3 linked regions of the Arabidopsis thaliana genome follow. The protein of the gene in region 2 interacts with the protein of the main gene of each other region in a pairwise test. Each region holds a gene or a part of one and is shown on either strand. Other genes may lie near its edges.

What was found.
Region 1: the proteins of AT4G02720 (region 2) and AT1G20920 interact in a two-hybrid assay, tested with the Arabidopsis thaliana proteins (one study listed by BioGRID).
Region 3: the proteins of AT4G02720 (region 2) and PPCK1 interact in a two-hybrid assay, tested with the Arabidopsis thaliana proteins (one study listed by BioGRID).

The regions. Positions count from the first base shown.
Region 1 is NC_003070.9:7,283,266-7,287,020, reverse strand, and holds the start of AT1G20920 (P-loop containing nucleoside triphosphate hydrolases superfamily protein), read right to left. Parts: upstream 1,980-3,755; 5' UTR 1,861-1,979; exon of another isoform or gene 1,782-1,860; 5' UTR 1,680-1,781; coding exon 1-1,679. UniProt on the Arabidopsis thaliana protein: Helicase required for pre-mRNA splicing, cold-responsive gene regulation and cold tolerance.
Region 2 is NC_003075.7:1,204,178-1,207,932, forward strand, and holds the start of AT4G02720 (Ras-induced vulval development antagonist protein), read right to left. Parts: upstream 1,716-3,755; 5' UTR 1,637-1,715; coding exon 368-1,636; 3' UTR 1-367. Other genes in the region: AT4G02725 (spindle pole body-associated protein), read left to right, coding at 1,878-2,149, 2,676-2,817, 3,030-3,113; WDR5b (Transducin/WD40 repeat-like superfamily protein), read left to right, coding at 3,582-3,755.
Region 3 is NC_003070.9:2,750,459-2,754,213, reverse strand, and holds PPCK1 (phosphoenolpyruvate carboxylase kinase 1), read right to left. Parts: upstream 2,091-3,755; 5' UTR 2,009-2,090; coding exon 1,204-2,008; intron 1,090-1,203; coding exon of another isoform or gene 1,064-1,089; exon of another isoform or gene 1,039-1,063; intron 1,032-1,038; coding exon 982-1,031; 3' UTR 405-981; downstream 1-404. Other genes in the region: AT1G08645 (uncharacterized protein), read left to right, coding at 1,619-1,963, 2,207-2,272, 2,384-2,401; CJD1 (Chloroplast J-like domain 1), read left to right, coding at 3,005-3,135, 3,436-3,535, 3,621-3,725.

The sequences.
Region 1 (3,755 bases), on a different chromosome or scaffold from region 2:
AGTGCTTGTGTTTGAATAGGCATTGGCTTTTCATAATTAAGCTTCTTCATAGTATCCAAAATTTTGCTGGTTAGCCCAGTCTGGTGCCAAAACTTTATGGGTCTTGGAACATCCTTTCCATGAACTTTCAGCTCCAATTCCTTTCTGTAAGTGTTAACTTCTTCTTGTGTCATCCTAGAGATATCCTTCACTTCGATATAGAAGTTCTTCCGGAAAGGTTCATACTCTATTTTTGAGTGGTCAACAAGGGACAACTTCTCAGCTTTTGTCTTCTTTACTCTCTTCATGAACTCCTCATCGTCTTCGTCTAAACTTGGATCATCATCATTCTTTGGTTCTGAATAATCAGAATCAGAATCTTCACCTTGAATTATCCTACCAAGGGCCTTATTAAAACCTTTCTTTGGCCGGTCACCACTTTCCTTCCCATTCATTTTAGAATCCAAAGTACCATCGTTCACTGCTGGGGGAGGAGCACCATTGCAAAACTTCTCAACCTCAGGTAATACCATAGTATTCATAAAAGCATCTAAAGGATCAATTTCCTCTTCATCTACAGCTCCATCACCTCCACTCTCAGAGACAGTAGCAGCTGTCTCATTCTCCAAGTCTACCATCTTAGCATCTCCATCATTTTCAGGTTTAGTCTCTTCATCAACATCCATTTCTGTTTCTGATTTTTCTTCCGGATGGCCTTCTTCATCATCAGATTCTCCTTCAAGAGTCCAAGCCTTACCGGCCTTGGGCTCATTACCATCCGCATCACCCTTACTTTCACTTTCAGCTTCCTCCTTCTTCCTCTTCAATTCTTGCCACTCCTGGACTCTTCTCCTTCGTTTTTCCACTTCCTCATCCAACTTCTTCTGCTCATCCTCTAGTTCTTCTTCTCGCGTTTTCTTCTCTTTCTTTTCCCCATTATCCTCGACACTCTTTCTCTTTGGACTATCTTCATGCCTGCTAGATCTGCCAACACTCTTTTCACGCTCTTTCTCCTTCCGTTCACCGCCCTCTTTTCTTCTACGTTTCAAGTCACGCTTGACATCATCATCACTCTCTTCATTGCCCACCTCTCTTGACCTTTCCCTTTCCCGGTTCCTCCTACTACCCCTTTCTTTCTCACGCTCTCTCCTATCCCTCTCTCCATCTTCCCGTTCCCGCCTTTCTCTTTCTTTAACTCTCTCCTTCTCCCGCTCTTCCCGTTCCCGTTCTCTCCTCTCTCTATCCTTCTCCCTTTCTCTTTCTTTATCCTTCCTCTCTTCCCTCTCTCTATCCCTTTTCCTATCTTTGCCTCTATCTCTCTCATGTTCTCGATGCCCTCTCTCCTTCTCATTCACTCTGCGTTTATCCCTCTCATCCTCTTCTTCAACGTCATCTTCAGAATCACTACTCTTCCTTCTCTCAGACCGTCTCTTCACCCTATCCTTATCCCTCCGTCTCCGCTCCCTCTCCTTCTCCTTACGCTTCTCCCTCTCTTCATCATCATCTCTATCGTAATCATCTTCAGAATCACTACTCTTAACTCGTTTCTTCCGCCTATCCTTCTCTCGACGCTTCTCTGAACCCTTATCCTTCTTCCGCTCATTACTCCGATCACGATCTCGCCGACTCTTCTTCAAATCAGCCTCCTCCTCCACCACATCCAAATCTTCGCTCCTATACTTGGATTTCTCTACCTCCATTCCTAAATTCAGCTCCGATAACACAAATCCGGATATGTAACCTCGCAGATTCAATGGAAAATCAATGAAATTCGCCCGCCCCGAAGATCCACAGCGAATTGTCTGATTCAGAATCAAAACGAGTGAGGAAATAATCTCAGATTAATCGAATCGAAAAAAAAAAAAAGGTTTTGAAGCTTACAGAGATAAATCTTCGATGAAGAAGACGAAGCTAAGCGAAGAATCGAGAGTGAATAAGAACGACGGAACCCTAAAACTGTCTGGAAATTGTGGAAAAGGTTTGCTAAAAAATCTGAGATTGGCGGTTTTTCTTAATTAATAACAGAATTTAGCCGACCTGATTTGGATCAATATTAAGCCCATATTTCACATGACGATTTTGGTTTATCTGTTTCGGCCCAAAGCCCAAAGTGAGATTTCAGCTTTTTATTTATTTTATTTGTTTTTCATTTTTTTCTCAAATATAATTTCACAATTCTTATGATATCTCCTTATATATCCCATTTTAATGAAAATCTCTTAAATATAGAAGACAATTTTAAAAAGAAATATTTTCCTAAGAATTTGAACTATACTTGGTAATGTAGGCAAATAGAAAATATCTTAGCCAGTCAAACAATTCAACACAACTTTGAAATTTTATTAGTTTCTAAGAGGAATAATAAAAACAACAAAAAGGTTTAAACAAATAAATATTTTGATTTTTTCTAAAAATATAAACCTAACACATGTATTGCAAAAGTACTAACTATTGAGAATATCAGTGGATAATAACGTGATATAATTTATCGAACAGTTGTAACTTTTCATAAATTTATGAAATTTTTTGAAAATGTTTAGAAGTTTTGAAACTTCATAAGCTTTTAGATATTTTACGTGTTTTACAAGCTTTTCTATATATTTACATGTTTTTGGAAACGTTTACGTGTTTACAATGTCTAAAGTATTATTTATCTACTTACAATTTAATGTTTTAGAATTATTTCATAACGTTTTAATAATTTTACGTGACAACATTTTATATTTTTCACGTGTTTTTGGAAATATTTACGTGCTTACAATGTCTAGATATAAAAATCATTGTCTTGGAAATTTCATATAATGCATTTTACATGTTTTTGAAAATATTTATGTGATTACACATCTTAATGTTGTTTAACTTCTATTTAAGAGATCATACTTTTGAAATTTTTTATACGTTTTAATATATTTGTGATCTTAAATTATTTCTTTATATTTAACCTGTAAAAATATTGGTTACTAGATATTAACCCGCGGTATACCGCGGGCCTATATTTTTATTAAATAAAAAATAATTAAATAATTTTTAGGATGATTTAATAAATTTATGCTATTGTTTGATTTAAATGTATAATTCACCGCGAGACGAAATTTTATAACTCAAATTTTAAAGTTTTAAGTTGTATTTGTTTATTTTGTTAAATGTTTAATATTGTATAATTGTATTTTGATTGTTGTTTCTCGGATTTCACCCGTAGTACACCATCCCATATTAATATCGAATCAAACCCGTCAATTCTAGGATTTCACCCGTGGTAGTATTTAATTGTATAATTATATTTTAATTGTCATCGTAGGATTTCACTCCTAATTCTATCGCAAATTATTATCAACTCAAACCAGTCAATTCTAAAATATCACCCGTAGTACACCATCCCATATTAATATCGAATCAAGCCCGTCAATTCTAGGATTTCACCCGTGGTAGTATTTAATTGTATAATTATATTTTAATTGTCATTCTAGGATTTCACTCCTAATTCTATCGCAAATTATTATCAACCCAAACCAGTCAATTCTAAAATATCACCCGTAGTAAACCATCCCATATTAATATCGATTCAAACTCGTCAATTATAGGATTTCACTCGTGGTAGTATTTAATTGTATAATTATATTTTGATTGTCATTCTAGGATTTAACTCCTACTTCTATCGTAAATTCTTATCAACCCAAACAGTCAATTATAAAATTTCACCCGTAGTATAAAGTTTAAATATTTATAATGTTTAAATTTATTATAAAAGAATCAAAATGTGTTTTAAAAAAATTAAA
Region 2 (3,755 bases):
AATACAGTGGTGGGCTCAAAGCGGATATCCTAAATAATTGATTGTTCTACAATCTCAGAACTAAGTGAATGCCCTGCAAAATTCAATCATCGAACATGACCTAAGGTAAATGCACAAGAACGGTTGCAGATCCTCAGTGTCAGAATCTATTATCTTTGACACACAAACACAATCATGTGATACATAGCAGATTAACGCATAAACTATGAAGCTCATTAACGGATACATAGCAGATTAAAGCATAAACTACGAAGCTCATTAACGGGCAAGTAGCAAACAGCAGTATCTATGATGCAAATAAGGAACATTCAACAAGATAAAGCATAAGATGAGTACCCACATAACAGAAGCAGGAAGCCAAGCAAAATCAATCATCATCTTCTTCAGTCTTTCCAGCACCGAAAGGGTCATGATTTGGCCCCACCTCTTCTCCCATATGGCGCTGCACAAGCCGCTGCAGATCAGACATAACCTTAGCCTCGCGCTTCGCCTTCTCCTCGTAGTTAAACATGGCCAATGCCCGTTTGTCTTCAGCACTGTAAACCTGGTTTTCTTTTCTAATACGAATAGCATTCATCCTTTGATGCCTACTTCCACTCATCACATAACCAAGATCCTCAAACTTCTGAATCTCTTCAGCGTTAAGACCCACTTCTCCTCTACGTGGGATACGTTTACCTTGCTGAACATACTGTGCAATGGCGTCTCCTTCACCGGGTCTTAAAGCACCACCATAACTGATGTGACCTTCAGCTTTAGGTAATGGCATTGGACCAACATCACCTTCTTCTTCCTCTTCATCAACAGCTGAAGATTTCTTCTTTAATTCAATCATCTCTTTGAACTTCTTCAACTCTTCTTCATCAAGTTCTAGCTCAGTGTTCTTCACCGTTTCGTCTACTTGCATCTTCGAATCTTCCTCAGTACCATCGCTGTCACTCCCTGACTTCGTCTTCTCTCCCTTGCTTCGTTTTGAACTAGAATCCGAAGATTTCTTCCGCCTCTTGCTCTTTGACTTGGTATCTTCTTCCTCCCCAGACGAAGAAGCACTAATCTCAGCTTTACTATCTTCATCGCTGCTCTCATCAGAGTCACTGTATTTCGTCTTTCTCCTATGACTTCGCTTTTTCCTAAAACTACGGCTGCTTCTACTCTTCTTCCTCTTAGAAGAACTCTTCCTCCTTCGTCTCCTATCTTCCTCTTCCGAATCACTCTCACTCCCTTCGGATTCACTATCGCTGTCATAAGATCTCTTTCTCCTGCGCTTAGACCTCGAGCTCTTACTCTTCCTCTTCCTAGATCTCAAACCATCAGATTCAGATTCCGAGTCAGATTTACCTTTCCTTTCTTTCCCTTTCGAATTATCATCTCTTTCGCCGCCGTTCTTGTCCTGAATCTCGTCGGCGTTCTCATCGGAATCCTCGTTCTGATCTCTAGGTGGACTCGGTGTGTTCTCCCAAAAGCAGAACTTGGCTGATTTCCTCATCTTAAGCCGTTTCTGCCTCCTATACTCTTCGTGACTCAATCCCTTCAATTCTTCATCGGAATCTGAACCAGATCGTCTTCCGTTTCGATAATCTCGATCCAAATAGCCATGATTCTTCCCAAATCTCCTCGGAAGCGAGTTCATCGTCATTCTCGAATCCCTAATTCACTCCGACGACGACAATGAAGAAAACAAAATCTAAGCAGCTGTCTGATAAATTAGGGCTTTGATTCATATACAGTATCTGCGCCTTTTTACTTATTGGGCCCTTAACGAATAGGCCCAATATTTATCATTATTCACCACTGAAAATCATGTTTTGATTTTACACAAAGCACCCCACATTTTAATTAGAGTCAATCGAGTCCTCTATCCTTATCGTCGTCTTCAGATGGCAAGTCTCTCCATGTCCGCCGTGTCTCTGTCGCCGTTTCGGCCTCAAACAGAGAATCTTCTTTCAAAACTCAGTTTCCGAACGAACTTACACTCGTTCAATCTCAAACCAATAAGGATTAGTACGAAAGTTAGAAGTTTTGGTGGGAATCGGAGAGAGCCGAAGGATTCAAGATTTGTCGATGAAAAAGGCGTAGTTGATGACATGGAAGGTTTCTTAGACAATCTCTCTCTCGAATACGACTCTGTTTGGGACACTAAACCCTCTTGGTAAATCTCATTTAAGTTCCCAACAATTTTATTTCAAGTAGTTTGGATTTGGTCCTAAGACTTATGAGGAATCGTATTTGTTGGTTGTGAATATGGGATTATAGCTTAGATAGAGTCTTAAGTTCACTTTTAAGTGGACCAATCCTTAATCTTTATTAGCATTTTCAGTGATTTATGCCTGCCCAAGAACTTTTTTGAATCATATATGAAGCTATATATTTATTGATGCTACTTAAAACAAGACTTACCCCATTACAGTTTCATGATTGTGTGTTGTGGTTTAGAAGATAGAAAGAAAAAGTTTGAATCTTTTGGTTAGGAAGATAGTGAAGAACCAAAATACAGATTATGTAATGGTAATTGGGTTAAGAAGGGTTTAACATTTCGACCTCAGCATCTACAGCTTTGAATATCTATTGATCTGGTGTGTATTTGCAATCAAGAACTTTACGGTTCTTCTTAGACGTTTTCAGGGCCTAGTGTTCTTCCGTATGGTTTTGAATAAGCAACTGGCTATGTTTCTCAGGTGTCAGCCATGGACGATAATGTTAACGGGTCTATCAATAGTGGCATGTAGCTGGGTAATACTACACTCGGTCATAGTTTCATCGCTTGCGGTTGGTGTAATTGGTGCTTGGTGGTACATATTCCTTTATAGCTACCCAAAGGTATGATTTTCCCTTCCATCATCTAACAACCTCTCCTTTTCATTCCCTTACTAAAGAAATGTTCGTAGCTCTAATTTACTAAGTCTAAGTTAAAGTAAAAATCCTGTTTAAACATCTTCAGACAATGCTAGTTTCTATAATCTTAGTGAACAAGACTTTACTTTGGTCTTGTCTTTGAGATTCTGGTGGTTTTTTCGTGTACTTTGGTTCAGTCGTATTCAGAAATGATTGCTGAAAGAAGGAAACGAGTAGCTGATGGTTTTGAAGATATTTACGGCAAAAACAAGCCTTCATAGGATCTTCTCAATGTTCAAAATTACATTCGTTTCTTGCATAAATCTTCCCTTCTGTTGTGTGTATAATATAACCATCATCTATGGATTTATCTCAATTTCATTCACAGATGTTTGGATACATAAATCTTGATTTCAGAGTCCTCTAATGTAGTGGGCATTAAAATCGAATTGAACCGATTATACAAACCGAAATTAACCCAAATATACCGAAACCTCATTACTGAAACCAACCGAATAAAGTGCCTTCGAACTAAATAAACCAAACGAACCGGACCAATTTTAGTTCAACAAAATCGACAAATTCAAATCGAACCGAACCGAGCCGAAGAACCACCAATACGAGAAATGAGGAATGAAGGGTAAAAATGTAATTCCCAAGAGGTCATGGTCAACGGAATGTATATATATGTAACGGTGAGAGATTCATTGAGATCATCTCCACTCTGCTAAATCCGACGAGAGACGACGATGCCAAGCGGTGGTAACGGAACAAGTAACGGAGTCGCTAACGCGAATTCCACCGGTAACGCAGGAACAAGCGGAAACGTTCCGATATATAAGCCATACCGTCACCTGAAAACCCTAGAAGGTCACACGGCGGCGATCTCTTGCGTCAAATTCTCCAACGACGGCAATCTTCTC
Region 3 (3,755 bases), on a different chromosome or scaffold from region 2:
AGATTCCAATATATATTTGGTGCAGACAAAGAATAACATACGGAGATGCTAGAAAATTGAGAGGATTATTCTTATAATTTGACTTTGCAACAAAAGTGCTGTAGTTTTGAAATTTTGGAATGTGGGGAATTTTTAGAAAACAGAAGAAACGTACCTAACTAGCCCACCACCGTACATCGTGTTTTTCCCTCAACGTACTTGTTTTCAACATCAAATAGTCATGAGTGAAAAAAGTTGATCTATTACGAAAAGTGTGCATTAACTTTAAATCGGTGGAATGTTGTTATCAAAAGACACTACACTGAAATAGGATCCGCATGTAAACGAACATTTGAATTAAAAAGGTACTATTTAAATATAAGAGAGTGGATAACAATCAGATAATAAAAACAAAAAAAGATATGGTTTCTCCAAGTATCTGAACGACATTTTTCATTGCTTGAGAAAATTATTTCGTTTAATTATATGTGCAAAGGTTAGATTAGGTCTTTATCAACAAAGTGTTAGATTAGGGATAACATAAACTATTTTTATTGATTAAAAAAAAAAAAAAGCAGAAAAAGGAGTACAACTCTGCTTTCTCACATCCTTTTACTCACCCCACATGGAAAAAAAAACCCGTAAAAGGCGGAAAAAGATTTGTTATCCTCTCTACATTACCGTCTCTACCCCTAAAAAGACTTTTCAAAAGCCAAACAAAATTCACATAAGCAACAAATGCAGAAAAAAAAAAAAAACTCATCGCCAAACTCAGAAGCAGCCACAACAAACAAGCTTCTTTTATTATTCAGCTCCTTTTTTTTTGGTTAAAAGTCTTTTCCAGAGTCTTCTCTTCTACTAGGTTGGTAGGCTGGCGGAATCTAAAATGCCCATAACCCAAATTTACATGCCCGACACTCCTCCATACTTGTTAGATAAAAAACCACCGAGAGAGATGATAAGCTATCACTTGACACTTATTTATTTCTCCGAGAGAATCTTCTAGATGAATCTCTCCTCTGTTTCTCCTGCTCTTTGGATCCATGGGTGCCCTGCAACAAAACAAAATTACAAAATACCAAATTTAGTTCACTTTATCATTAAACCAACCTACTAAAAAATGGATTAGTGTGGATAAGATAACATTATCTGTTAAAAATAGATGAAATTTATTGACATTAAAAATTCAACAGAGAAACAGATCTGATGGTTTTAGAATCTTACTTAATGCTTGTTCGGCTGAGAATCTTCTAGAAGCATCTTTGCATATCAATTTCCTTAGGAAATCTTTAGCCATAGATGAAACCCCCCGGAATATCTTCGTCGGAAAACGGAGATTTCCTCTGAGTACCGCTTCGAATATCTCTTCAGCTGTCTCGCCGTAAAACGGTGGAGTTCCAGCGAGCATCGTGTACAAAACGACGCCGGCGCTCCATAGATCGACCTTCTCTCCGTAAGAATATCCCATTAAAACCTCCGGCGCCACGTAATACGGCGTTCCGACGACTCCTTCGGTGGTCTCTCCCTCACCTAACCAAATCCCTGAACCGAAATCGCAGATCTTAACCGTATCGTTTCGTAGATCTACCAGAATGTTCTCCGGTTTAATATCCCTGTGAACGACGCCGTATCGGTGACAATGCGAAAGCGCCTGGAGAATCTGTTTAGCGAACGACGCCGTCTGAGGCTCAAAGAAGGTTCCAGAAGAGACGAGACGGTCGTAGATCGAAACAGAGGGATGGACGAGCTCCATGAAGATGGAGAGAGTCGAATCAGTGTCGATGAGATCATGGATTTGAACGATGTTAGGGTGATAGGACAAGAGAGCCATGAGCTTAGGCTCGTTGTCGAGACAGGCACGGTCAAGGTCGTCGGAGAGAGAGGCTTTGTCGATGGTTTTGCAAGCGAAGAAATCACCGGTGGCCGGAGCGTAGACGCGAGAGACGGTGCCGAAACGGCCACGGCCGATCTCCTCGCAGATCTGGTATTTGTTGGTGTTGTTGTTTCCGAGTGTTTGGCTGCAAGTCATAATATCACTTTCTTAATATTTTTTGTTTTGTGTTGGTTCTTGTGTGAGTTAAGAAGACCTCTTGAGTCGGCTCTACCTTTTTTTATAGCCAAAACTCTTGAGAATATTCCTTTTGATGCCTACATGTTTTTTTTTTCTACTAGTATTTTCCTTTTCCTTAACGTTATATCTTTTTTGTTTTTATTTTGTTTTAAATAGGATTTTAGATATTATTTCCCAATCCAAATCTATTTTTTTGTTTTGTTAGAAGTTTACTTGGAGAAGGTTTGTACTTTGTAATGTCTTTTCTTATCTTATTATATACAATTTTACTTTCTAACAGTTCTTTATTATCTATTTGGTTTGTTCTTTGAAATGATAATTACTTGGTGGTAGTCTAAAATTCACATTTAAGTTTATTATCAAATGTACTACACAATTACAATCCTCTCTAAATTACAGAAAAACATTCTCAACAGATCCAGATTTGTTAAGATAAAATATTGGATCTACAATTTAATATGTTTCCAGAAAAAGTTCATAAATTGATAATGCACAATCTAGTGAAAAAGAGGTAGGAAATCCAACCCCAATTTATGCAAAAACATTTCCAAATTGAATGTGAGTACTAAACGATTTCTTGGACGAGATTGAAATCTGAAAAAGAGATAAGAAAAGTGTGGCATGTTTGGATTGGAATTGGGAGATAATCCCTGCAAGTAAGTAAACCAGAGATCCCACGAAAACAAACTAATAAAGACACTGGATTGGGCCGATAAATCAGTTGGGCTGAAGAAAGCAGGCCGTCTTTATTATTACCTAATTCGTTCACGATGGAGGTCGAACCGAGAATATCCCCCTCCGGAGGCGAGCGCCTTATCCATTGGGCCACGCGAACTATTGGTCAGGCCTCAGTTTTTAGCCTTAACAAACTATTGAGTATTGAATGATTAGCTTCCAAACATCAATCACCAACCTTCTAGTTTCCTTTTAACCCTACTAGAGCTCTGCTCTGCCATGGCTCCCGCACTATCTACTTCTTGCTCCTCCGTCATGGCTTTCTCAACATCAAACGCGCTTCGTTACCATCATCCTCAAATTTCTCTCAGGAACTCTCTTCGCGCTCCCAAATCGCCTTCTTTTGTCAGGTACTTTCTCTTGATGCTGCTTTTTTGTTTTCCACTTCTCTTCGGTGGCTTTAAAGTCGAAGAATCATCGTTTGATAGTTCTTTTTGTTGTGTAAACTTACGGATTTTGTGGGTAACCGTTATCTTCTTCCTTCATAAACATTGTCAATTGAATTCCGACGGCTTAATTCGTGGATGAGCTTCTTACTGTTGCCTATAAAGTTTACAACTTTCAATTGCACTTAAGAGAGTTCCATTGTTGTGCTTATCAGACCATTTGGTACACGTTATCATTGTAATGAGGATGATTGAAATTCTCAGGCTTCCCCTCGGAAAGGTGTTACAGAGCAGGATTGTGATACGTGCTGCTTCGTCTGCGGCTGGTAATCCACAGTCTGATGCTGACTTTAATCCGTATGAGGTAATTGATCGTTAGAGCCCTATAAAGGACTTGTTTTGTTGGTCGTTGTGTATTTCTCATGACATGAGTGTGTGTACCTTCTCAGGTTCTTGGTGTTAACCCTATAGAGGGATTTGACAAGATCAAGCAAACTTATGGAAGGAAACTTAAAGATGCTCAGAGGAGCGGTGATGAAGCCACTGCTGCTCTAGTAAGTTACGTTACCTCTCTCTTTCTTTGG